3 linked regions of the Oryzias latipes genome follow. The protein of the gene in region 3 purifies or fractionates together with the protein of the main gene of each other region. This does not show direct contact. Links are inferred from orthologs where the notes say so. Each region holds a gene or a part of one and is shown on either strand. Other genes may lie near its edges.

Region 1 (8,000 bases), on a different chromosome or scaffold from region 3:
CTTTAGAGTAATCAAAAGCCCCCCCTCCCACATGTAATGAAATGACTGAAATGAGAGGAATCAGGAGGGCATGAGTCTAAATGAAATGGCAGTGACGTCATGAAAATACGACCGAAAGGGAGCAGAATTTGTCCTACCAACCTTCTGCTTTTGGAAGTTCTGGCCAGAGAAAGTTTTAGAGGGAAAAGTGAGAGTAAAGAAGAATTTAAAACAGAAAAAAATACCACAAACCATGATACAAAAAAGAAAAATGTTCTTCAAACATCTTGAAAATAAACAAAGTAATACAATCATAAATAAAAGATCATCAAGATATGAAACAGAAACATTGATGTGAGCGTGAGATTTTGAAAACATTCCAATGAACCAAGACCCTGTGTTTTATACACCGACCAAAAATATAAACGCAACACTTTGTTATTGCTCCCATTTTTTATGGTATGAACTCAAAGATGTGAAACATTTTCCACATACACAAAATAACCAGTTCTCTGAAATATTGGTCACAAATCTGTCTAAATCTGTGATAGTGAGCACTTCTCCTTTGCCAAGACAATCCATCCCACCTCACAGGTGTGCCATATCAAGATGCTGATTAGACAGCATGATTATTGCACAGGTGTGCCTTAGACTGGCCACAAGAAAAGGCCACTCTGAAATCTTCAGTTTTGTTTTATTGAGGGGGTCAGGGGACTCAGACAACCAGTCAGTATCTGGTGTGACCACCATTTGCCTCATGAAGTGCGACACATCTCCTTCGTATAGAGTTGATCAGGTTGTCTATTGTGGCCTGTGGAATGTTGGTCCACTCTTCTTCAATGGCTGTGCGAAGTTGCTGGATATTGGCAGGAACTGGAACACGCTGTCGTATACGCCGATCCAGAGCACCCCAAACATGCTCAATGGGTGACATGTCCGGTGAGTATGCTGGCGATGCAAGAACTGGGATGTTTTCAGCTTCCAAGAATTGTGTACAGATCCTTGCAACATTATCATGATGCAACATGAGGTGATGTTGTTGGATGTACGGCACAACAATGGGCCCCAGGATCTCGTCACAGTTTCTCTGTGCACTCAAAATGCCATCAATGAAATGCACCTGTGTTCTTCGCCCATACCATAACCCCACCACCACCATGGGCTACTCGATCCACAACATTGACATCAGAAAACCGCTCACCCACACGACGCCACACACGCTGTCTGCCCTGAACAGTGTAAACCGGGATTCATCCGTGAAGAGAACACCTCTCCAACGTGCCAGACGCCATCGCATGTGAGCATTTGCCCACTCAAGTCGGTTACGACAACGAACTGGAGTGAGGTCGAGACCTCGATGAGGACGACGAGCATGCAGATGAGCTTCCCTGAGACGGTTTCTGACAGTTTGTGCAGAAATTCTGTGGTTACGCAAAGCGATTGTTTCAGCAGCTGTCCGAGTGGCTGGTCTCAGACGATCTTGGAGGTGGACATGCTGGATGTGGAGGTCTTGGGCTGGTGTGGTTACACGTGGTCTGCGGTTGTGAGGTCGGTTGGATGTGCTGCCAAATTCTCGGAAACGCCTTTGGAGACGGCTTATGGTGGAGAAATGGACATTCAATTCCCTAGCAACAGCTCTGGTGGACATTCCTGCTATCAGCATGCCAATTGCACGCTCCCTCAAAACTTGGACATCTGTGGCATTGTGCTGTGTGTACAACTGAAGATTTCAGAGTGGCCTTTTCTTGTGGCCAGTCTAAGGCACACCTGTGCAATAATTATACTGTCTAATCAGCATCTTGATATGGCACACCTGTGAGGTGGGATGGATTGTCTTGGCAAAGGAGAAGTGCTCACTATCACAGATTTCGACAGATTTGAGACCAATATTTCAGAGAACTGGTTATTTTGTGTGTGTGGAAAATGTTTCACATCTTTGAGTTGATACCATAAAAAACGGGAGCAATAACAAAAGTGTTGCGTTTATATTTTTGGTCAGTGTAATTTACCAATATCAATTGTATTGGGGAAAGAAGAGGAGCAATGACATCAAACATTGTTCCAACTTATAGTCTACCTTCATCAAAAAGCAGTAAACAAGATTAAGCTTAATAAGAGTAAAGATGAACTGTCAACATGAAGCAACCATCTTAAATAATCTTAATGACTAAAACTGTGTCAGAGGTGATCATAGCTGTAGTTACACGCTCCTCCTCACTATGCAAATAGTTTAGCTGCTGGAATATTTCACTTATGAGTTTGGTCTTGGTAAAATCAAACTGGGCTGGATTTGCTCTAGTAGTTTGAAGCATTAACTGCTCTAAAGTCTGGTGTTCTGGATGCTAATCTCAAGAAAGAGAAACTGGTCTTTTTTTTACCTAACTTTATAAAATCTACTCATTGTTTGAGTATTTATGTTTACTTCTAAGACCAAAAAACATTTTCATATGAAAAAAGCTACATATAACTTAAAGGTCACAAAATATGAAGAAGACATATGGGAGGATCGAGGACAGAGGATTCACGCACCTTCCAGCAGCTGAGAACTGACATTCACAAACTCCACCTTCTTCCTTAGATAACGCTGATTCAGTTTCCAAATGCAGGATATAAAGCAGTTTTTCTCAGCTGTACTACTAGCCAACCACCGATAGATCTTCTCAAAATGCAGGTCAAATTCAGGGTTTTCCTAAAGCAGAGGAGCAAGACAGTCAGCACTGCTACAGATTATAGAAACACAGAGCATTAATGGAATTTAAATGTTAGACTCTCACCTTGCTTGCATCTTTGGCATCTACTACTGTCAGATCTCTAAGCTCCCAAGTTTGCTGTCTCTTGTAAAAGTCACCTTTGTCAGATTTTTTTACCTTTACTACTTTGACCTGAACAGGTCTCTCTATGGTAACTAGAAAAAAAATATGAAGCATTAGACTCCATAAAGAAATTCTGCCAATCCTATTTGTGGTGGTCATACACTCACCTGTGGCACACAAGAAACAGTTCTTCTTTTTCTTTCCAGCCTTGCAGACATTAACAATACCAAGGAGGCGCTCATCATTTGGAGTGAAGATGTCCCTCTGGAGAGCGTGTTTGATGGCTGTCATGGTGGGTGGACACTGTTGTACAAAACAGATGCAGATTCATGTCAGCATCAGGGATTCATATCAATAATATAGTCTCATCGGCTTTTCTTTTTACTTCAGTTAGCATCCACAACAGATGTATAACAATAAAAAAATCACTTATTACCACAGACTGAAACATTTCTTATCACATTATTTTAACAAATCAAACTGGGATAAGGCCATTTGCAGATGCACCATAATGTACATGTTTATTTGTTCAGAAACCCAACTGGTTTAGAAAGAACATTGATCAAGTTTGAATTTTGAAATAGCATGTTTGTGACAGGAGTGGAGCTCTAAAACTATTGATGGCATATTGAAAGGTGTTTTTTGCAGAGATTTTACACCTGATGACCTTCCTGAACATCTTTGTATTTTATCTGGTCTAGGGACCAGCACAGGAGGACACAGAAGTGGCCCCCCCAACTCCATTTGTTTATAATAAATGTAGATTTATTTTCCTCTTAAAAATAACAACACGAAAATAATCCAGGAAATTATAAACTTGTGAATCTACTAATTAAATGTCTAGGCAGCAATGCCCATTATGACTATTAATGTACACCAAATAATTGTCTGCATTATGAGACAAAAGTTCATTAAGCATTCACTTCTAATCTACAATACGTACCCAAACATCAGAATCTGAGGCATTTATTGTCATTATAACAGCAAAAGTACAGTACAACTAAATTACTGTTTTTGTAATCGGGAGATAGGGGGAAGACAAATTACATAAGATAAGGGGATCACCAATAGCAATGATAATAATAATAATAATAATAATAATAATAATAATAATAATACTTCTAATACTCTTGAGGGGGCAGAATAGGGGTGTAGAAAAAGGACATGATCATGTTAAAAAAAAAGTATGAAAACCCACCAGCAAAACAATGAATGTCAAAATGTTAATGCTTATGCTGCATTTATAAAAAATGCTCAAGTTCATCAATCGAAACGTAATTAAATTAAACATGTCAAAACGTACATCACTGTGTAAATAGGATTTATTTGTTTTTAACTAACCAATAAATAACATATTTCTTTCCGTTCAAAGAAGAGTTGACGTGTGGAAGGAAGGAAGGATATTTAGGGCCACAAAAAAAACGGAACAGTTCCTGATTTATTGTTACTGTACATCAGGGTTAGCTTAGCGACTGCTAACGAGCTTGCTAACAGAACATGCTAACGGTTGTAGCCTCTTTTTTTGCTAGTTATTAAACGAGATTAAAATTTTGCAACGACAGTGTAATTTGCACAAATGATTTGTTCCGTCGATTAAGTTAACATGTGAAAAAAAAATTTAAGTTAAAGAATTTCACCCAATACCTTATTTTCATCAGCCCTTCAAAACTCTGCACAAACACAAACACTTCCTGGCTTTAAGGAGGAAGTGTCATGTGACACCGCCTATGACTAATTAAAGCGACAGGAAACTCCACCTGGCAAACCGAATCTGTTTACCATAAAATATCGCAATAGCTTTGTTAGAATTCCCACCCTAACCCTTTACTACTAAAAAAACGATATATAGTGCGGGACAATGTAGTGTTCTGGATTTTAAAAGCAATTCGGAAAACGTGCACGCTACTTTTTACGGCGATTATGACGTCATCGATTTCACGAAGTGGAAAATCTTAATTGAAATGGACGAGTATCTTTTTTTCCCCAACTGTCATTTATGATTTCATGTGTTCAGGATTGTAAGTATCCAGCGTCAGGACAGGGGGTTGGTGGGAAGCCCACTTGTGCTACTAGGCCCTGGTTTGATCTCAGGGATTAGGTTAGGACAGAGACCTTCCCCTAGTCCTTTTTCTCCTAATTTCTTCTATCCGTGAGGAAGGTCCAGGGACAAGTACAGCAATGGGTACAAGAGAGGAGCTTGAAGAAACTAAGGAAAGAAAGAGTTAGCCACCTGCTGGAAGAAAAGAAGAAAGAATAGTGATGAACTTCTAGCTCTAGGAGGACATGAGGCTGCAGAAGAGCTGAGAGCACAAGAGAGGAGGGAGACTTTTGACAGACTTTTCAATCTCTTGGGAAAAAATGGTCAACAAAGAAATAACCTATCAATGCTTTCTGAGAAAAAGTAAATTAATCAATTATGTTCATATTTGATATTTTAAAATCATGTGAGTTTTTTTCATGCAAATAAAGAAATAAATCCAAAACGGCAGTTCTCATGAATTCATTGTAACACTTTTATTTACAACTATTTACAAAGTTGATCGACATAGATGGGGGGCTGCAACTGAGACCCAGGGCTGGAACTTTGTGGTTGGTGATTGGAACTTCTTGCAGGGTGGTCTGCTGAGAGAGTTTCAGGATGCAGCTTCACTGTACATCAACAGAGTTTGCAGAGCTTGCTGCCGATTCTGAATTATGAGACTGTTCTGACCTCATAGCCGATGGATGCTGCATGACCAAAGATTATCCATAGGTTGATTCTGCAGTACAGAGGTCTGGTCTGGTTAAAGAGAAATACACAAGAAATCCTTTTTTAGTTTAACCCTTGTGCTATCCTAGGCGCTTTAACATTGGGAGTTGGGTCATCTAGACCAGTGTTTTTCAACCAGTGTGCCGCGGCACACTAGTGTGCCGTGGGAAATTGCCCTTATTAACTGATCTAAAAACATTTTCCATCTCCAGGATATCAGCTCTGTGTTCATCCAAACAGGCCCTGATAAAACACTGAGTAGTTAGGAATATGAAAGATCATAAAATACTTTTTTCTTTGTGTTTATTTGATTCTATTAAAGACACTTTGATCAGAATGACGGTACCGCGATTTAGCCACAGCTTCAGCTCTATTTTTGGAAAAGTCCCGCCCCTTTAACTGTCTCCACCAATCATTCTTGGATTCTTAATCACATGTCATCAGTCTGACCAATCAGAAGTGGTTAAAGTCTTCACTTCCTTGTTTCAATTCTGTTCATTAAGTCTCTCAGTTCTAACAAAAATACCAGCTAAAGCTCGTCTTTACTGGTGTAGCTTTCCACAGAATCCGGTTTCAGAATGTGGAAAAAGTAAACAAAATAATGAAGCTCAGAGACGCTGGTCTTTCAGCATTCGGTGGAATTTTGCACTACATCTCCCATGATGCATCAGGTTAAAGGGACAGCGTCTCGGCGCACAATGAGTCTCTCCTCTTAACGTCTTGAAACCACAACGAACACAAATAAACAGTTTTTAAATCTTCTAACTTAACTTTTATTACATCTATTAGGAAAAACAGCTGCAGCTTCCAACTTTTTCTGCCACAATTATCACGAAAATGCTCGTGAGATCATGGAGGGACTGTAGATCAATACAGACTATGAGTTTCTCTTTTTTGTTTGTTTTTTTGATGCTGATGTGCCGCAGGATTTTTGTCAAGGTTAAAGTGTGCCTTGGCTCAAAAAAGGTTGAAACACACTGATCTAGACCCACTACACAGTGCTTGGAACCTTTTTTCTTCAATGATTTGTGATCTTCACTGGTGTCCATGGATTACATGAAATCTTTCCACCTTTATCCACCTTTGTCATGGTAGGGAGAACACGTCAATGGAAGGGTGGGGTCATAGGATAGCACAAGGGTTAAAGATGTTGTTTTCAGTTTTTATGAGGCTTAAAAACACGATTATACTCCGGGGGATATGATAGTAACAAAATACTTAAATACAAATATTACTGAATTCAAATAAGAGTAGGGTAAAAAAAATATTTCTGCAATTAAAGAAGTCACATGAAAAAATTAACATTTAACTCTATTGTAGTCTAAGTAATAAAATAATTTAAAAATAGTTTATAGTTATTACTTAATAATTTTTTACATTCTCAAAAGAGGATAGTTAAATTCTTATAACTTGTGAGAAGTAAACAAACTCTGGGTACTCTACAAACTCACAAATTTACTGCAGTAATTGTAAATTTTACAACCTGAAATGAAGTGATACAATATATCCATAAAACTAGCTAACGCTAAAATGTAATTCCTAAAAGCTTCAGCTTATGGAGTTCCTCTTTTCCTTTTTGAGAGATTGTATACAGTACCTGTTATCTCTCAGCCAGAAATACATGTGCTTTCAACCAGGATACAAATGATTCAACTCCTCCAAGATTAAAAGTTGGATCAAATAATCCAGGAAAATTTCTAGCTCCATGCATGGTTCACCACTTTTCTCTGACTCATGCGACACGTTACTAGAGGACAGTTTTGTGTTGGAGTTTGCAAACTCATTTATCTAAGTTCTTCTAACTCAGTTGGAAGTTGTATTAACTTAAAAGTTCAAGTTGGATCAACTTTGAATCGTAATTTTGACCAACTCAGATGTAAGTAACAGTGACCTAAAATGTCACGTAATCCTAACTGTGAATCTTAACCATTCCCAACTCAGGCATAAGATGTAAAGACTTAATTTTTTAAGTTGAAATAATCATAAATTCCAATTATTAGTAACTTAACAAAAGGTTGAAGTAACAAAAAATTTGTAATAATGTGAACTTCTAACTTTAATTTTAAATTCAATTGAAAATTACACATATGTTACTATATGTCCATTATAATTATAATTTCATGTCTCCACATGTGGAGCCAAATATTAACAAGATCATTAAGACACGAGTAAACAGTCACAGTTTACCCACACATGTGTTCGGAATGGCAAATCATTTGCTTTGACCTTATTCTGTAACTGCAACAACATGACCTCCACCTCTGTTCACATCTCCCTAACTCATGGTGTGGGAATCAACACTTCCCATGAGTCTTAGTTGCCTGGGTCCCCGAAACATTGTTTACAAAATGGCTGAAACCCTGGGGGATTTTCCAGGGGGGTATTCCAGAAAGCAGGTTATGCTAGCTCCCACAGTAAGTTTAAGCCTAAAGAAGTGTACAATCACAGCTTTCGGTTCC
Region 2 (7,668 bases), on a different chromosome or scaffold from region 3:
ATTTTGGTTGCATAATGTTAGGTTGGGGTTATGAGGGAATGTAAAGTAGCAGCAGAGCTCTCAGTTATCTATGACGGGAAAAGGGAGACCGGCTAACTCTGCACCGACAGACCCGCCCCACGACTCTGAGGGGAATTTCTAATGAACTCCCGCCGCTCTGCAGAAACTGTGTCCTAGAAAATGACACAGGTTAGATTTTGCTTGAAAACTGTATAATCATAACTGAAAGACCACTGGGAACATTTTTAGAATAGATCAAAAGATGATCAGAGTGGGTCTTCAAGTTCACATCTGGGTTCAGGTGAGCTTTAAGAACTGAGAAACCATTTGGACACAAAGCAAGAAAAACATTGCGCTGCCCACTTGACTTACTAAATATGAATTCAAATACAAAACTACATTAAAAAACACCTGTTTTAGATGTTTGATCACTAAATTAGAACCATACTGTCTATTCTTGTTGGAAGTAACACATAAACATCAGTACTTTATAAATCATTGTAACTAAAATAGATTAAGATTTTTGTTTTGAAAAGAATGTGAATATGTCAGTGATTTAAACAGAAGTGAGGAGACCAGATCTAGTTATTATCTAGTTTTTAAGTTGTGACTGAATTTTCTCCGTATTTAGTGCACTAGATAGAACGCCATTTTGTCGGGTGGAATTGGACATCGCCACAGATTTGATGGTTTTTTATATTCCAGTTCAATCCAGTTGACTTCATGGGAATAATCTGGATCTGAATAATATGGAATTATCACAGTTTTGAATAATTTAGCTCAATTGCAGGATTCTTCTAGGAATTTAGTTCCCATTGATGAAAGTAAGTCCTTCCCAGTGCATGCTGGGACATTGATTAGGGTTTTAATTAACAGAATTTCTAGCCAGGGATTGGCTGAGCTGTGCCAAAAGGTAAAGCTCTCAGTTTACTGGTAATTTTACACCAAAGATCATGAGCTATGAGTCATGATCGGATGGAAAAGATCTGGAAAACATCAGCGAGTTTCCTCCACGAGGTGATGGAGTGAGGAAAAGAGCTGGTCCTCCACACCAAAAGAGGCCAGTTCAGCCAGGAAGCCTCCCTAAAGAGGCAACTTCGGAGCAGCTCTCTGCGACAAGCACTGTTCTAACTTGGATCTTTAAAAAATGACTGATTTATTAGTAAAAACATATTGTAAAATCCCATCCACCTCCACTAGGTCTTTCCTGGGTCTGAGCTTCAGCAGAGGTTCACTGAGTCTGATGGAACACAGTCCACCTCGACCTTCATAGGAGCAAACGCCAGCACACCTGCAAGAGGAAACCAAAGAGAGTAGAAGCATTTTTTTAGACATAATTGCCATCACTGATCCAATGACATTACTTACACCCAAAATCTTCAATATAACCTTAAATTTATGTATCTATTTGCATTTATTCTATTTTATTTTATTATTTTATAAGCTGCTTGCACTGTGGGGCGAGAGGAAAGTAATTTAATCTGTGCTGTTAATCTGTATGTATGCTGCATACTTGACAATAAAGCTGACTTTGACTTATTGAGCTTTTTCTTCAAAATCTGTCCACTTTATTTGAGAAAAAAAAATTTTTTGCTTTCTCTAAAGCTTTTATTTCCCTGTTTCAACGTTTCCATTAAAAATCCATTGTGTTTTAGTTTTGATCTAAATCGGTGAGGTCAGTTTAGGCTCCGAAACAGCTTAAACCAAATGTCCAAAGTCAGAATAGACTCACAGGGTCATCCTGGGACTCCACTTGACCTCCACTCCGCTGAGTTTGCCCCAGAAGAACATGTCATTGAACTCCAAAAACATGGCTCTAACATCAGGGCTGGGATCCAGCATCTCCCAGGAATCATCCACGATGCTTAGCGGCCGCTCAACGCCGGAAGTTGGCTTTCTATCCCTGGCCCCACCGGCAAGCTCCACTTTCCGCTTTTTGCTGTTGTTTCCGAACTCCCCTTCGTTAAAACTTAGAGATGAAACCAGTGAAGATTCATATTCATGGTCAAACTGCTCCTGTAGCTGAACGGCGAGCAGAAAGTCCTCGTCCATCACTGCTGCTATTTTGCCATTTAGCTTTGGCTAACCCGAACTTCTAAAAACCAATCAGTGCGCCAGTTGTACTACATTTAGCAGTGTAAACTCATAAAGAAAAAAACGAATTTATGTCATCATTTTTTCGCAAAACGGACGCTTAAACATAAAAACGGAAACAATTTAATAAAAAAGAGTAAGAAGCTGGAGCCAACAACTTCCTGTCATCTTCCACAAACCTTCCGGTAATGTTTTATTTTATTTTTTTCACAATAAAACATATTAAAGTTTTTGTTCAAAGTATTTTGAATATCTAAACGTAGGCACGTATGTGTTTTCTTAGTATATTATTAATTGAAATTGAAAGCCGCGTAGCTTTTAAGGAAATTGTTTTTGCATCAATGCAATTTTACTCTGTCTTTTGGTCTAACCTGCTGTCAAGTTCCGCGAAGTCCCGTACGTGATTGTTTTTCAAATTAAAAAAATGAGTTATTAAAGGCGTTTTGGTCCCAAATATGGTTACTTAATCATTTTTGTCTATTATAATGATATGTTTTAAAATTAATTGTCTAAACTAAAACACTGTGATATATATATAACATGGGCACTTTTTTATGCTCAGTATATCAATATATATAGTAAAAAGAAAAATTCAATAGTTTAATTTGGGTAGCTTTGACGGTGATCTTTTTTTTATAATTCAATGTAATTATTTTGTATGCTTTGGTTACCACTTCCGGTAAAGATTGCAAGCATCGCTAGCACAAATATTAGCGATGGGTTCTGGGAACTTTAGTAAACATATATCTGATATTTAAATTAAATTATTCAATTGTTACAATTGAATAAAGTTTACGAATCATAATCAAAAATTTATATTATCTTATGCCTAAAGATAATCAAATAATTTTTTTACGATTTTATTTTTAAACTTTTTCTGATCACGTGACGTTCGGGTGTTGCTGCTTACAGCTTCCTGTTGGAGTGAAAGCGGATGTAAAAGGAGCTTCGATGCACTCGTCTTGTTCGTACATTTCATAGCCATTTTACTAATATTTCGCGTTCGTAAATAATTGCAAACACAGCTAAAGATGTCGGAAACAGGGAACCGGCTGCGGAAACTTCTCGAATCTCCCAATTTCGATCCGCAAACGTACGTCAAACAGCTGTCACAGCAGTCCGACGGCGACAGGGATCTGCAGGAGCATCGGCAAAAAATCCAAAACCTGGCCGACGAAACGGCCCAGAATTTGAAGAAAAATGTCTATAAGAACTACAGGCAGTTCATTGAAACCGCCAAAGAGATTTCCTACCTGGAGAGCGAGATGTACCAGCTGAGCCACATCCTGACGGAGCAGAAGAGCATCATGGAGAGCATCACCCAGGCCTTGCTGTCCACAGACAAGGATGAGACCTCCAAGGAGATGCAGGCTGCTTTCCCCAAAGAGACGGAGGAGGTGAAGCAGAGGGCGCTCACCTCTCTGCTGGAGAAAGTCGAAGGAGCCAAGAACATCATGGACATCCCGGGGAGGCACCTAGTCTACAACGGAGACCTTTTTGAGTTTGACGTGGACAACATGTCCCCCATCCAGAAGGTCCATGCTTTCCTCATGAACGACTGTCTGCTGATCGCCACCTGGCTGCCCAACCGCAGAGGCACCGTGAAGTACAAATACAGCGACCTGTACGACCTGGAGAGCTTCGCCGTGGTCAACGTCAAGGACAATCCCCCCATGAAGGACATGTTCAAGATCCTCATGTTCCCGGACAGCCGCATCTTCCAGGCAGAGAACAGCAAGGTCAAGAAGGAGTGGCTGGAGATCCTTGATGAAACCAAAAAGAACAAGGTGTCTAAGGACAGACACAAGAAGGAAGAGGAGGCTCCCACGTCCCCCATCAGATCTGAGGTGTCCACCAACCCTTTCGACCTGGAGGACGAGGACCCAGCAGATGCAGAGGAAAGCGCAGAACTTGGTATCGAGTGGATTCAGGAGCTCCCCGAGGACCTGGACGTGTGCATTGCCCAGAGGGACTTTGAGGGAGCCGTGGACCTGCTGGACAAACTGAACGAGTACCTGAAGGACCAGCCCTCCACTCAGAAGGTCAAGGAGTTGAGGTCCAAGGTGGACGAGCGGGTGCGACAGCTGACTGAGGTGCTGGTGTTCGAGCTGTCTCCGGATCGGTCACTCCGTGGTGGACCTAAAGCGACCCGACGTGCCGTGTCCCAGCTCATCAGACTAGGTCCTGGTTTGGTTCTTTTCTTAATTTCCAGAGAAACAGAGAAGAGATGATGTTTGACTAACTTCCAAAACATTTTCTTTAGTCCGTTAAAGCCAAAAAAAAGGCAACATTTTTAATTCAAACTTTTATTTAGGAGCATCAATGTCGTTTGTTTTGCAAAAAAAAAAAAAAGTGTTCAAAGCCCACTCTTCTGGATCTGTCAGGCGGGGAAGTGATGTTGAAAAAAAGTTTCTTTTAATTTAATTTTAGGTTTTGAAGGTCAACATTTTAAGGGACCAACCAGTGTAATCCTGCTTTACTCCTGTTTGGGGTAATGGGGTCACTGGAGCTAAACCAACAACTCTTCAGTGAAGGCGGGGTTCGCCCTGGACAGTTCGCCTTCCATCACAGGGCCACACAGAGACAAACAAGTTCACACATTCACACCTAAAGGTCAATTCAGAGTCACTAAAGCTTTAGCCACATGGACCTGTACGGGGGCTGACCTGTACAGGTGCCCTGGGTTTTTGGGTTGTCCAGGTCTGTGGAGGGGAGTAGAAAGTAGACCGGCCAGTTTAAGGCGCATCTTAACAGGAGCACAGGTGTGTCTTGCAGTTCCCTTGAAAATGGAACCTACCATTGTGTATGGTAAGCATATTGTGAAGTATTTGTAAGGCTAACATAAGTTACACGCACTGATAACATACGGGTGATGTTGCCGAACACCGCCCAAACTGCCACACTGTAGTCGTTATTAACCCTTGTGCTATCCAAGGCACTTTAACATTGGGAGTTGGGTCATCTAGACCCACTAGACAGTTCGCTGAACCTTTTTTCTTCAATGATTTGTGATCTTCACTGGTGTCCATGGATTACATGAAATCTTTCCACCTTTATCCACCTTTGTCATGGTAGGGAGAACATGTCAATGTAAGGGTGGGGTCATCTAAGACAGCACAAGGGTTAATGAGTGAGTACTGGTTCCTTACTGACTCCAAGCAAATGCTGACATGTAAGTGTCCGTAGGACAGGACACTCACACAAACTACACCATTATCATCAAATTTCTAATGCTACGTTAACACCAGGCTTGGAAATGCGTGTTTGAGTGACCACTTTCAATGAAAATTCTATGTAAGTGCTCACGTAAAAGCCCGTTTTGGGCCTCCGCGTTCAAAGCTCTCTCGTTGACGCGTCTCTACGCAGGTTTTTAGGTCAGTTTTCAGGCTCTACGTACAAAACACGCAATCGAACGTGTGCTGAAAGTTTAACTAGTTGTACTTTGACCAATCAAGGACTCTGATTTGGTAGTGAGGTATGAGTAGCATCCTTTTCAAAACACTGAATCTTGGAGGTGAAATACTAATTGCGGTTTGTGCCCGGCCAAAATTCTATGACACCAAGGCCTTCCTTTATCAAAATAGAGCTGTGAAAGAAAAAGCCTGGAGCAAGATTGGCACCGCTTCAACATTTCGCAGGAAGCATCTTATAACTGTGCGCTACTATCGGGTAGCGACAGTCCAGTATGAGCACGTATGCTGAAAGTGCGTTCAAGAACCCGCGTTCAGCGCCATGCATGCCCAGTGTGGAGTTAGCATAACAGTCAGGCTACACAGAAGGAGTGCGCACTTATCACTTGAACAGCACCGTGCGCAGGATTTGGGGGGGTAAAGAAAACTATAAAATACGTAGAACATGGCTGCGTCTCACCTACTTCACCCTTCCTTTCCCTTATGTTGTATAAGTATTCATTACCACCTGTTGCCTGCAGCATTCCCAAAGACAAAATGTGCAAGAGCACTTGGCTGTACAGCCCCACACAGGTTTGCCTATTTTTCTACCACAGGGCAGTTGTGTCCAAGGCTTTACCACCTGTGTGTATTACTGCAAAAACATGGACTCCATTTTGAGTAGATATCTATTTTTCAAGTCTATTGAAACCCGATTTTTATGGTTATTACTTTTTTTACATAACTATTGATGTAACCTAAAGAAAAGTGGATTTTGAGTCACTAAAATAGGAATCGATTTATGCCTATTACAGGCCAGTCCACCAAAGCCTGCGAACTGTTTCTGAAAAACCGAGCCGCGGCAGTCCAGACGGCCATCCGGCAGCTTCGCATCGAGGGAGCAACGTTGCTCTACATCCACAAACTCTGCAACATCTTCTTCACCAGTTTGCTGGAAACCGCCAAAGAGTTTGAGATGGACTTTGCTGGGAACACGGGTTGCTACTCTGCCTTTGTCGTCTGGTCCAGATCTGCCATGAAGATGTTTGTTGACGCTTTCAGCAAACAGGTAGACAACATGTTACCAAGAATGTTGATCGTTTTCTGATCTACTCCTTTTTTGTTTTCTATTTTAACAGCCTTTATGTCAAAAGACAAGTTCAACTCTTGGCTGATGATAGTGTGGTTTATTGTTTTGTCCTTCTGCCTCATCACGACTTCAGATTTTTTTAAAACAAACCTAACTTTGATAAGAATTATCACACAAACAAAGCTTAAATTTTCACTTAGATCATCTTTTGATATATTACTCTTAATTTTTTCTTTATAAATGCCATCCAACATCAGAAAAATGCTACAAGAACATGTCAAAAAACATCATTTTCATTGTAGTGGGTGTTTACTTATTTCAACGAGAATGTTAATCATGTTAATCACATCTGTTGCCGCCTTTCTTCCAGGTGTTTGACAGTAAGGAGAGCCTCTCCACGGCCGCAGAATGTGTCAAAGTGGCCAAAGAGCACTGCCAGCAGCTGACGGAGATCGGCCTGGACCTGACCTTCATGCTGCAGTCGCTGCTGGTCAAAGATATCAGGGCTGCCCTGCAGAGTCAAAAGGACATTATCATCGAGGCCACCAAGCACCGCAACTCCGAGGAGATGTGGAGGAGAATGAACCTGATGACCCCCGAGGCTTTGGCCAAGCTCATGGTATGTTTCTGTCGCTCTTCTATGCAGTAAACGAGGCTGATAATAACACAGGTTAAAATATATTGAGATTGAGATTTGCACACCTGGAGAGGTACAATAGGTAATATTTTAAAGTCAGGGCTGATGGTCAGGAGGCAGAACTATATGAATGTCGTGAAAGGAGGACATGAGGTTGTTAGAATATGGAGACAGGAGGAATAGAAGAGTCAAAAGAAAGTTTATATATAAATTGTCCTTGAAAATAAATATTTTATACACATTGAAATCTTTCTAATGTTCATTCTGTTTTTTGATTATAAGAGTTTAGCATCCTGCTAAAGCAGAAACTACTGCATTCAAGTCTGGTTCACTCCACAGTTGTCTATATTGCTGGTCTGACTGATACAGACTGGTACTGGATCACATGGTACTGGCCACAGAAATAAAAACTCACATTATTTCCATTTTATTTGTTTTGTGATTCTGGGGGAACCTTC
Region 3 (7,238 bases):
GTTTCAGTTCTCATTGAAAAAAAACTGCTTTAAATGAAAAGAACTGTAGATCTGAACCGAGGAATGTAATTTACGACGGGTATCAGATTTGCGGATGTTTACAGTTTTTCTCGTCATCCCTTCGTGTTTATTAAACAGTCTAGAACCTTTTGTTTTTTTTCCTTTTCTAACTTTTGGAAGTGAAGCAAGTCTGATGTGAAGAGTACTCCACTCAAATGAGAGTTCTCTAAAAGTTGTACAGTATGATGAATAGAAGTGACATCACTGTGAAACCACCACTACCTGAAAGTAATGCACATCCGTTTTTGTGAATTTGGATCAGAACAGACGCGCATTCTGTCTCATCTACATGCAGACATGCAGCAAATCTGAACGTTGCAAGTTCTTTGACATTTGTTGAGGAGACGTGTCAAATGATGTGGGAAGATGAAGGAAATCCCCCACTGTGTGTTTGGATGGCAAAAGGAAAGGAAATTACAAAAACTCCTTCATTTCGGCACCTGTTTCTAAACAAATAAATAAACGTCAATGTGCTACGGTAGTGAAGCCTGAATACATTCAATTCCAGTCAGATTCCGGTTTGCTTCCTTACACCTACATTTATCCCTCCAAGCAGAGAGAGATATGAGGAAAAAAAATAGTGTCTTTAAATCTGGACGTTACTACTGCTCGATGATGTCATCAATCGTCACCAGTTACCTACGTTATTGGGTAGCTGCCAGCGCCCAGAAAATACACATCGGCTTTATAACTTTAAAAAGTAAAAAAAAAAAAGTTAATACTCAATACTAGCATGTATCCCTTGTGCTATCCTAGGCACGTTAATGTTAGGAGTTGGGTCATCTAGACCCACTAGACAGTGCTCTGAACCTTTTTTCTTCAATGATTTGTGATCTTCACTGGTGTCCACGGATTACATGAAATCTTTCCACCTTTATCCACCTTTGTCATGGTAGGAAGAACACGTCAATGGAAGGGTGGGGTCATCTTGACCCAACAAGACAGCACAAGGGTTAGATATAAACTTGTACAATTGGAACAGTAGGGAGGAGCCAAAGGGGAAGGGAAGGGACGCCAATTGGATTTGGCCAAATATTATCTGTTCCTTTGTTATGATTTTCCAATTTACACATTTCCATATAGTTAAGTAAATCTACCCAAAATGCAACTTGTATGTGATTCTTTTTTCTTTATTATGCGTTTTTTGGCTGCAGTGACTTATTCTCCTGAGTGACTTATAGTCTGAAAAATATGCTAGTTTTCTGCAGATCAGCCGTGGTTTATCAGAAATTGGCCCCCCTTTGCTGCTATCAGGGAACTTGTGGCCTTTCCTGTGCATTTTCTGCATAGCAAATATATTTTTCAAGCAACTTTTTTTTTAGCTCAACTTTTGATATATGTCCTCTGAAAAGTGTCACAAGAACATGATAAAACACCACTTTTACCATGGTGGGTCTTTAATGAAAGACTTGTGAAAACAGATTAAGGTTTTCTGTGTGAACTACTCTAGGGATCAGTTAAAGCACAAATTTGAATTTAAGCAACCAAAAAACAGTGGAAGGCCTTAATAGAGTATGCACACTTGGCTTGTAAAAGTCTGCACAACAATTTCACAATAGCAGTTAGTGGTGAAAACATTTATTGTAGCCACACAAAATGATCTAAGCAATGAAATTTAGAACATCTTTAATTTGCCTGATTTTTTTTTTTTTGTGTTAACCAAGGAGTTGCTTTTTGATCATCAAAGGAACTACAAGTTTTTACATGGTCAGGAATTGCCATTTATTGAATTTTACAAAGGATGCCACTAAATATTTTTCTTACTATTGTTGCACAATTAGCTAATATCCGCTTTTATTTTTGAGTATTTCAGCCGTTATCCTTCTCTTAGGCCCTGCTAGTCACCAGGATGTTTTCAGCAGTATAGTTTCTTACCTTTCGCTGACTCGCTGTTTCGCAGATTTCTTTTGTACTGTTTTGCATGCCTTTTTTTTTTCTTTTGGTTCAAAGCACATTGCGTTCTGCGTCCTTTTTAGCCATAGATTTGGCAATCAATCTCCGCCCTGTTGTGTCTCCTTTACCGAATGCGTTCAGTTTGCCAGATCTTCATACATCTTTGATCGCGGTCATACTGGAATTATTTTTTCAACTTTGATTTAAATGAGAGAAAAAAAACTATAAAAATGTTCATGTATGTCTGAAAAAAGTGTATAAAGTTTGTAGTGAGAGGTTTTAAAGCCTTAGAACATCTACAATTATTAGCTGCAAGACATCAAAAGTAGTGACTACGTCGCAGATTTTTTTCTGTCACGGGTTATTTTTAAAGCTCCTTCAATAACCGGGACAGCTTTTGAATACTTCTAAAACACAGTTGCTGAATAATCCAGTTTGTATCACGTTTTTTTAATATTTATTCATTTATTTTTACGGCTTTTCAGCTAACAGATTGCAGCCTGTGACTCGGCCCCTCCCACGTCCAGCTAAAGTAGCAGCCATTAAACCTTTTCTCCATTTTCTCTATTAAATTCTTTGTAAAATGATTTAACTTATCAAACAAGACATATTTACCATCTTGGGTTAGGTTTCATGGTACTAATGTATGGAACTTATTTTTCTTTATGTATGATAATACATATAACTCATATATCCATATAAGTCATGGATATATTTAAATAATAAGACTGTCAGGTGACGATTGAATCTTCAGCTCTAGATTACCCTTACTGGATGTTTACCAGGAAGTAAAAGACTCATTCTTCCCACCAATTTGCCAGTTTTTGGTGGTGGCATGACCATAAAATAATCTATTTCACCAGTTGCTCATCTCTTAGCGTCAATGGGCCCGTCCCTCAGAAAACAAGTTCATTTTAGGTCAACAAAACTGCATTTGCAGATCTAAACATAGTTTCTTTTACTGTTCTTAACCTCCTAGTGTTCCTCTTCCTCCTTCAGCTTCTTCGTTGTGGAGGATCACGTCCTTCACACCACCCGGGGTTTGGTCAACAGAGCCTATGTGGAGGAGCTTTGGGAGCTGGCACTCTCCAAGATTGTTGCTGCCCTGAGGACGCACTCTGTATGATGAATGACACATTTAGGAAAGACGAACAGCCACGTTCCCATAACATCCTGACTCTCTGCTCTGCTTGTTTAGTCGTACTGTGATGACCCTAACCTGGTGCTGGATCTGAAGAACCTCATGGTGCTGTTTGCCGATACGCTGCAGGTACGTGTGTGATTTACGACCGAGAGCCTCTCCGTCCCCCAATATCTCGCTAATCTCCCAAAGCTGTGGTGTTTTTAAGTTCAGCTGTCCTTTGTGACCCCCAGGTGGCCATGAATCTTCTTAAAAGGAAGTTTAGTTGGTTTTTTTTAAGTGGATGGCTGCAAGTCTCCAAAGAAAGGGCTTCTTTCTGAACCGTTTTAAAGATGGGAGTTCCTCAACTGATCTGACTGTGTTTATCCCGTGCTGCACAAATGAACAAACCTGAATGGATGGAGTGTGATGGATGAGGAAGGAATGGAGGAGAGATGGAGGGGATGTGCTGACCGGATGGGGGGGGACACGAATAAGACTTATGGAAGACATGGAGGTTGTGCTTGGGAGGTCCGACGCCGCAAGTCTTCCACGTGGAGTGATGAGCTGCTATTGAATGGCGTTTTTCCGTTCTTTCGACAGACTTTTTCCTTTTTGAACCAAACTTTCAAATCGGGTTTCAGACACGGGATGCCCAACATTTATTGCTTCATAAATCAGATGAAGGTTTTGAATTTCGGAACTGGTTACTGTTGCTGAGAAACAAAGACATGAAGCCAAGTCAAATGAATAGATAATTAATAGGGTTTGTTTGTTAATTTTACATACTGTTAGAATTAGTTGATTGGATACCCTTCTATTGTTCCTTTACTGCTGGTTTTCCAGCTTTTCTTTTAATTAGGTTTTGAATAACTGAGCCCTTTTAATCCAGCTAATTAACAGGGGTAGAGGTTGCTGGAAAACGTACAGGATGGTAGATCTGTGTCTCATTTCCACTGAGCGGTACGGTCAGGTCCGATACGGTCCGGTTTAGAATGGTCCAGGCAACTCAAGTAAGCGTTTCCACTTAAGGTTGGATCGCCGCGGTGCCTGTGGGGTGACGCTGACAAAAACAACAACAATGGAGGTCGTCCAGTAGCTCATTTTTTTTCCATTTGACTTTTGGTACTTCATATAAACAAAGCGTTTAATGTTGTCTGAGAGAAGATTCCGGTCAGCGAAGAGGAATACAGCTGCTTTGTTGGAGCTTTCGCTTGTCGATATGACTATCAGCCAATCAATGGGTTTCAAGAGTAGCTCTGCTCTAACTATTCCGTTCAATTTTTCTATGGACCTACAACCAAGAGGGGCCCAAAGATGGGATTGTTCGGTCCGGCTTAATGTCAGTTTTATAAAAGAAACGCTCAACGTACCAGACTGGACTGTACTGCTCAGTCCATTTAATTGTTTTCATTGTTTTTTCATAACCAGATGGTTGTTCTCCATCTGAGAAAATAAATACAATTCATGTACATCTGTAATTATTAACTACAAATCATCAGAAGTAGGGGAATTACTTTGCAGAATTTGTTGTCGCTGATTATTTATTGATAAACGTGGGCTAAATGGTAAATGGCGTATACTTATATAGCGCTTTCTACCTTCTTTCGAAGACCCAAAGCGCTTTACAGTCACAGTCCCATTCACCCAGTCACACACACATTCACACACTGGTGGCGGCTCCGCTGCAGAACACTGGCGCCAACCTTCCACCAGAGGCAAGGTGGGGTTCAATGTCTTGCCCAAGGACACTTCCACTCATGGGCGTGCAAGGCGGGAATCGAACCTGCAATCTTACGATCATGGGTCTACCGCCCTACCGCTGCTCCACAGGCGCCAAAACTATCGAACACTTCTAAAACACAGTTGTTGAATGATCCAGTGGGAATCATGTCTTTTAATTTTTTTATTTTTTCTTATGGATGTTTATTTTAAATCTGCTTTCTTGTTCAATGCCTAAAATAAAATGTCCCTCTTGTTGGTGTTTTATAAAAACTGATCTAAAACTCAACCGTTTACGCAACCAACGTAATTTTGATGGATTCAGGAGCTGAGAAAAGTAGATTTGCGCCGATACAAAACACTTTCCGTCCGATGCATTGGAGTTGTGTAAACGGTTGAAAAGTAAAAAAAGCGTGCATTATTTAGGCGCCACCGGCGAAATCTCCAGTGTTTAAGGGTCAACTTTGAAAAGTTTGGTATTTCCCTCCTGACTGGGACTGGACGGGCGTCTTCTGGGAAGTGAACTTCAGCCCGTGTGTTTGATCTGCATTTGCAGGGTTACGGATTCCCGGTGTCCCAGCTGTTTGACATGCTGCTGGAGATGAGGGAGCAGTATGGAGAGATCCTGCTCAAGAGGTGGAACATCACCTTCAGGTACCGACCGATCCGGGCCGCCGTCCGTTTTAGCGGCTCGGGTTGTCATGCGGGAAACCTGCCTTTGGTCAGGAGGTCACGCAGTGTTTGCACGACCACAGCACACTCTCGTCACACCAGAATGTGAGAAATGTGGTTTTGAAGTTTTATGAGCATCAAGAGAGGAAACGTTTTCAAACGACGTCCGGAACATTCTTTACCCTTCGGAATGGGCAGCACCCTCAGACGCTTTGTGTGTGCGTTTGGGCTCAACAGGCCATTGTTCGCCTCTGTTCAATGATACCAGAGGGACGCGGGGCAGTGAGAACGGACAAACAAACACACACTCCCTCTTTCCTCCTCTTTTTCTTATTGGAGTTAACACACACACACACACACACTCGGGAAGCCACAGGAATGTTGTGATGTATTGTTGGGGAGCGATCCCTCTCCGGTTCACCTCCTCTCCATGGAACGCTGGAACGTCCGATCTGCGGAGCGCCAAACAGACGTGGGGGTTGTTGAAAGGAGGCAGGGTGGTAAGAAAACCCGAAGCGTTGGAACGACCCCCAATGGGACGGTTGGAGGTTAATGTTTGTGTTTCAGAAAGAGAGAGGTGGAGCTGAGGAAACGTTTGTTTTTAGCTTTCTCCCGTTGACGTCTTCCACGAACGGAGGAAGTGATTCACCTGTGATCTGCCGTCTTCAGGCAGGTGTTGGATCAGGACAACTACAGTCCAATTCCAGTCTCTACAGAGGAGGAGTACCGCCACTACACTTCCCTGTTTCCCATGCAAGATCCTGAACTGGAAAAGGTGAAAACGAAACATCAGAGTTATAAAAATACAACTTTTTGCTATTTTTAAACATTTCACATCCTTTCATTTTAGTGAATGATAAAGGTTAGAGATGCTGATAAAGTGAAATATTTGGCAAAACCTTATGGAACTCTGTGTTTTATCTTCTGTGTTCGCCAGCTTCCCTTCCCTAAAAAGCTTCCCTTCTCCGAGTTTGTGCCAAAAGTCTACTCTCAGCTGAAGGAGTTCATCTATGCCTGCCTGAAGTACTCTGAGGATCTGCATCTCAGGTACTCGTCAAAGCCGTAGGTGGTTTGTTTTTACCCATGATGCCGCTGACAGGTTTAAACAAACCTCAACACACGGTGGAGTTTAAACCTAGCCCGATCAGCTGGCTTCTTCATTAAAACCGAAAGCTTCTCTTATTCTCATCACACGGTCGGATCGTGACCCGACTATGATAGCCCCACCACAAGAGATGGGTTAGATCCAACACCATTTTTGAATTTGGATTAATGGTTTTGGTTAGTTTCCCCTAAATATTAAAGTGTCTAGACTAAATTGTTCAAAAATCAAAAATATTTGGGCCTTTTCACATCAATTCAGTTCAACTAATAATTTACATAAATATTGACAACTTGAAAAGGTTTTCTCACCAAAATGGACACTAACAGAAGTATTTTGTTTAAAACGCTCCTTTTCTTTTGGTTCTTGACTCTTATTGGTTTATGACAAATGTGCATTCGTCGTCACATCAGCTTTCACTAATTTGCACAGGTGGATTGGCAAAGATTTTTGGACTGGATGCCCTTCCTGACCCAACACTATTATATCCAGGCTGGGGACAGCCACAGGGAAGCCCAGACTTTGGCCCCCTTGTGGCTGCATAGCGTAAAGCAGTCCTACACACAACCAACTAAGCCGTCCAGCTGCTGAATGTGCATCATTCTGTATAAACCCCCTAATGGGTGTTCGCATCAAACCCTTTTCTTTTGTCTCCAAAGACATTTTTTT

Evidence for each region. Proteins that work in one complex are often made in the same cells at the same time.
Region 1: the proteins of exocyst complex component 6B (region 3) and exoc1 purify together in Homo sapiens (affinity purification with mass spectrometry; 3 studies listed by BioGRID and IntAct, counting the BioPlex papers as one, with this or other methods). This does not show direct contact. The link is inferred for Oryzias latipes from reciprocal best matches to the Homo sapiens genes EXOC6B and EXOC1.
Region 2: the proteins of exocyst complex component 6B (region 3) and exoc8 purify together in Homo sapiens (affinity purification with mass spectrometry; 3 studies listed by BioGRID and IntAct, counting the BioPlex papers as one, with this or other methods). This does not show direct contact. The link is inferred for Oryzias latipes from reciprocal best matches to the Homo sapiens genes EXOC6B and EXOC8.

Annotation. Positions count from the first base shown.
Region 1 is NC_019862.2:103,415-111,414, forward strand, and holds the start of exoc1 (exocyst complex component 1), read right to left. Parts: upstream 4,671-8,000; 5' UTR 4,437-4,670; intron 3,096-4,436; 5' UTR 3,084-3,095; coding exon 2,960-3,083; intron 2,885-2,959; coding exon 2,754-2,884; intron 2,669-2,753; coding exon 2,509-2,668; intron 160-2,508; coding exon 142-159; intron 1-141.
Region 2 is NC_019882.2:17,523,720-17,531,387, reverse strand, and holds the start of exoc8 (exocyst complex component 8), read left to right. Parts: upstream 1-2,998; 5' UTR 2,999-3,125; coding exon 3,126-4,275; intron 4,276-6,298; coding exon 6,299-6,552; intron 6,553-6,943; coding exon 6,944-7,192; intron 7,193-7,668. Other genes in the region: sprtn (sprT-like domain-containing protein Spartan), read right to left, coding at 1,192-1,291, 1,733-2,052. UniProt on the Homo sapiens protein: Component of the exocyst complex involved in the docking of exocytic vesicles with fusion sites on the plasma membrane.
Region 3 is NC_019876.2:5,440,120-5,447,357, reverse strand, and holds part of exocyst complex component 6B, read left to right. Parts: intron 1-2,952; coding exon 2,953-3,073; intron 3,074-3,151; coding exon 3,152-3,223; intron 3,224-5,351; coding exon 5,352-5,449; intron 5,450-6,136; coding exon 6,137-6,242; intron 6,243-6,404; coding exon 6,405-6,514; intron 6,515-7,238. UniProt on the Homo sapiens protein: Component of the exocyst complex involved in the docking of exocytic vesicles with fusion sites on the plasma membrane.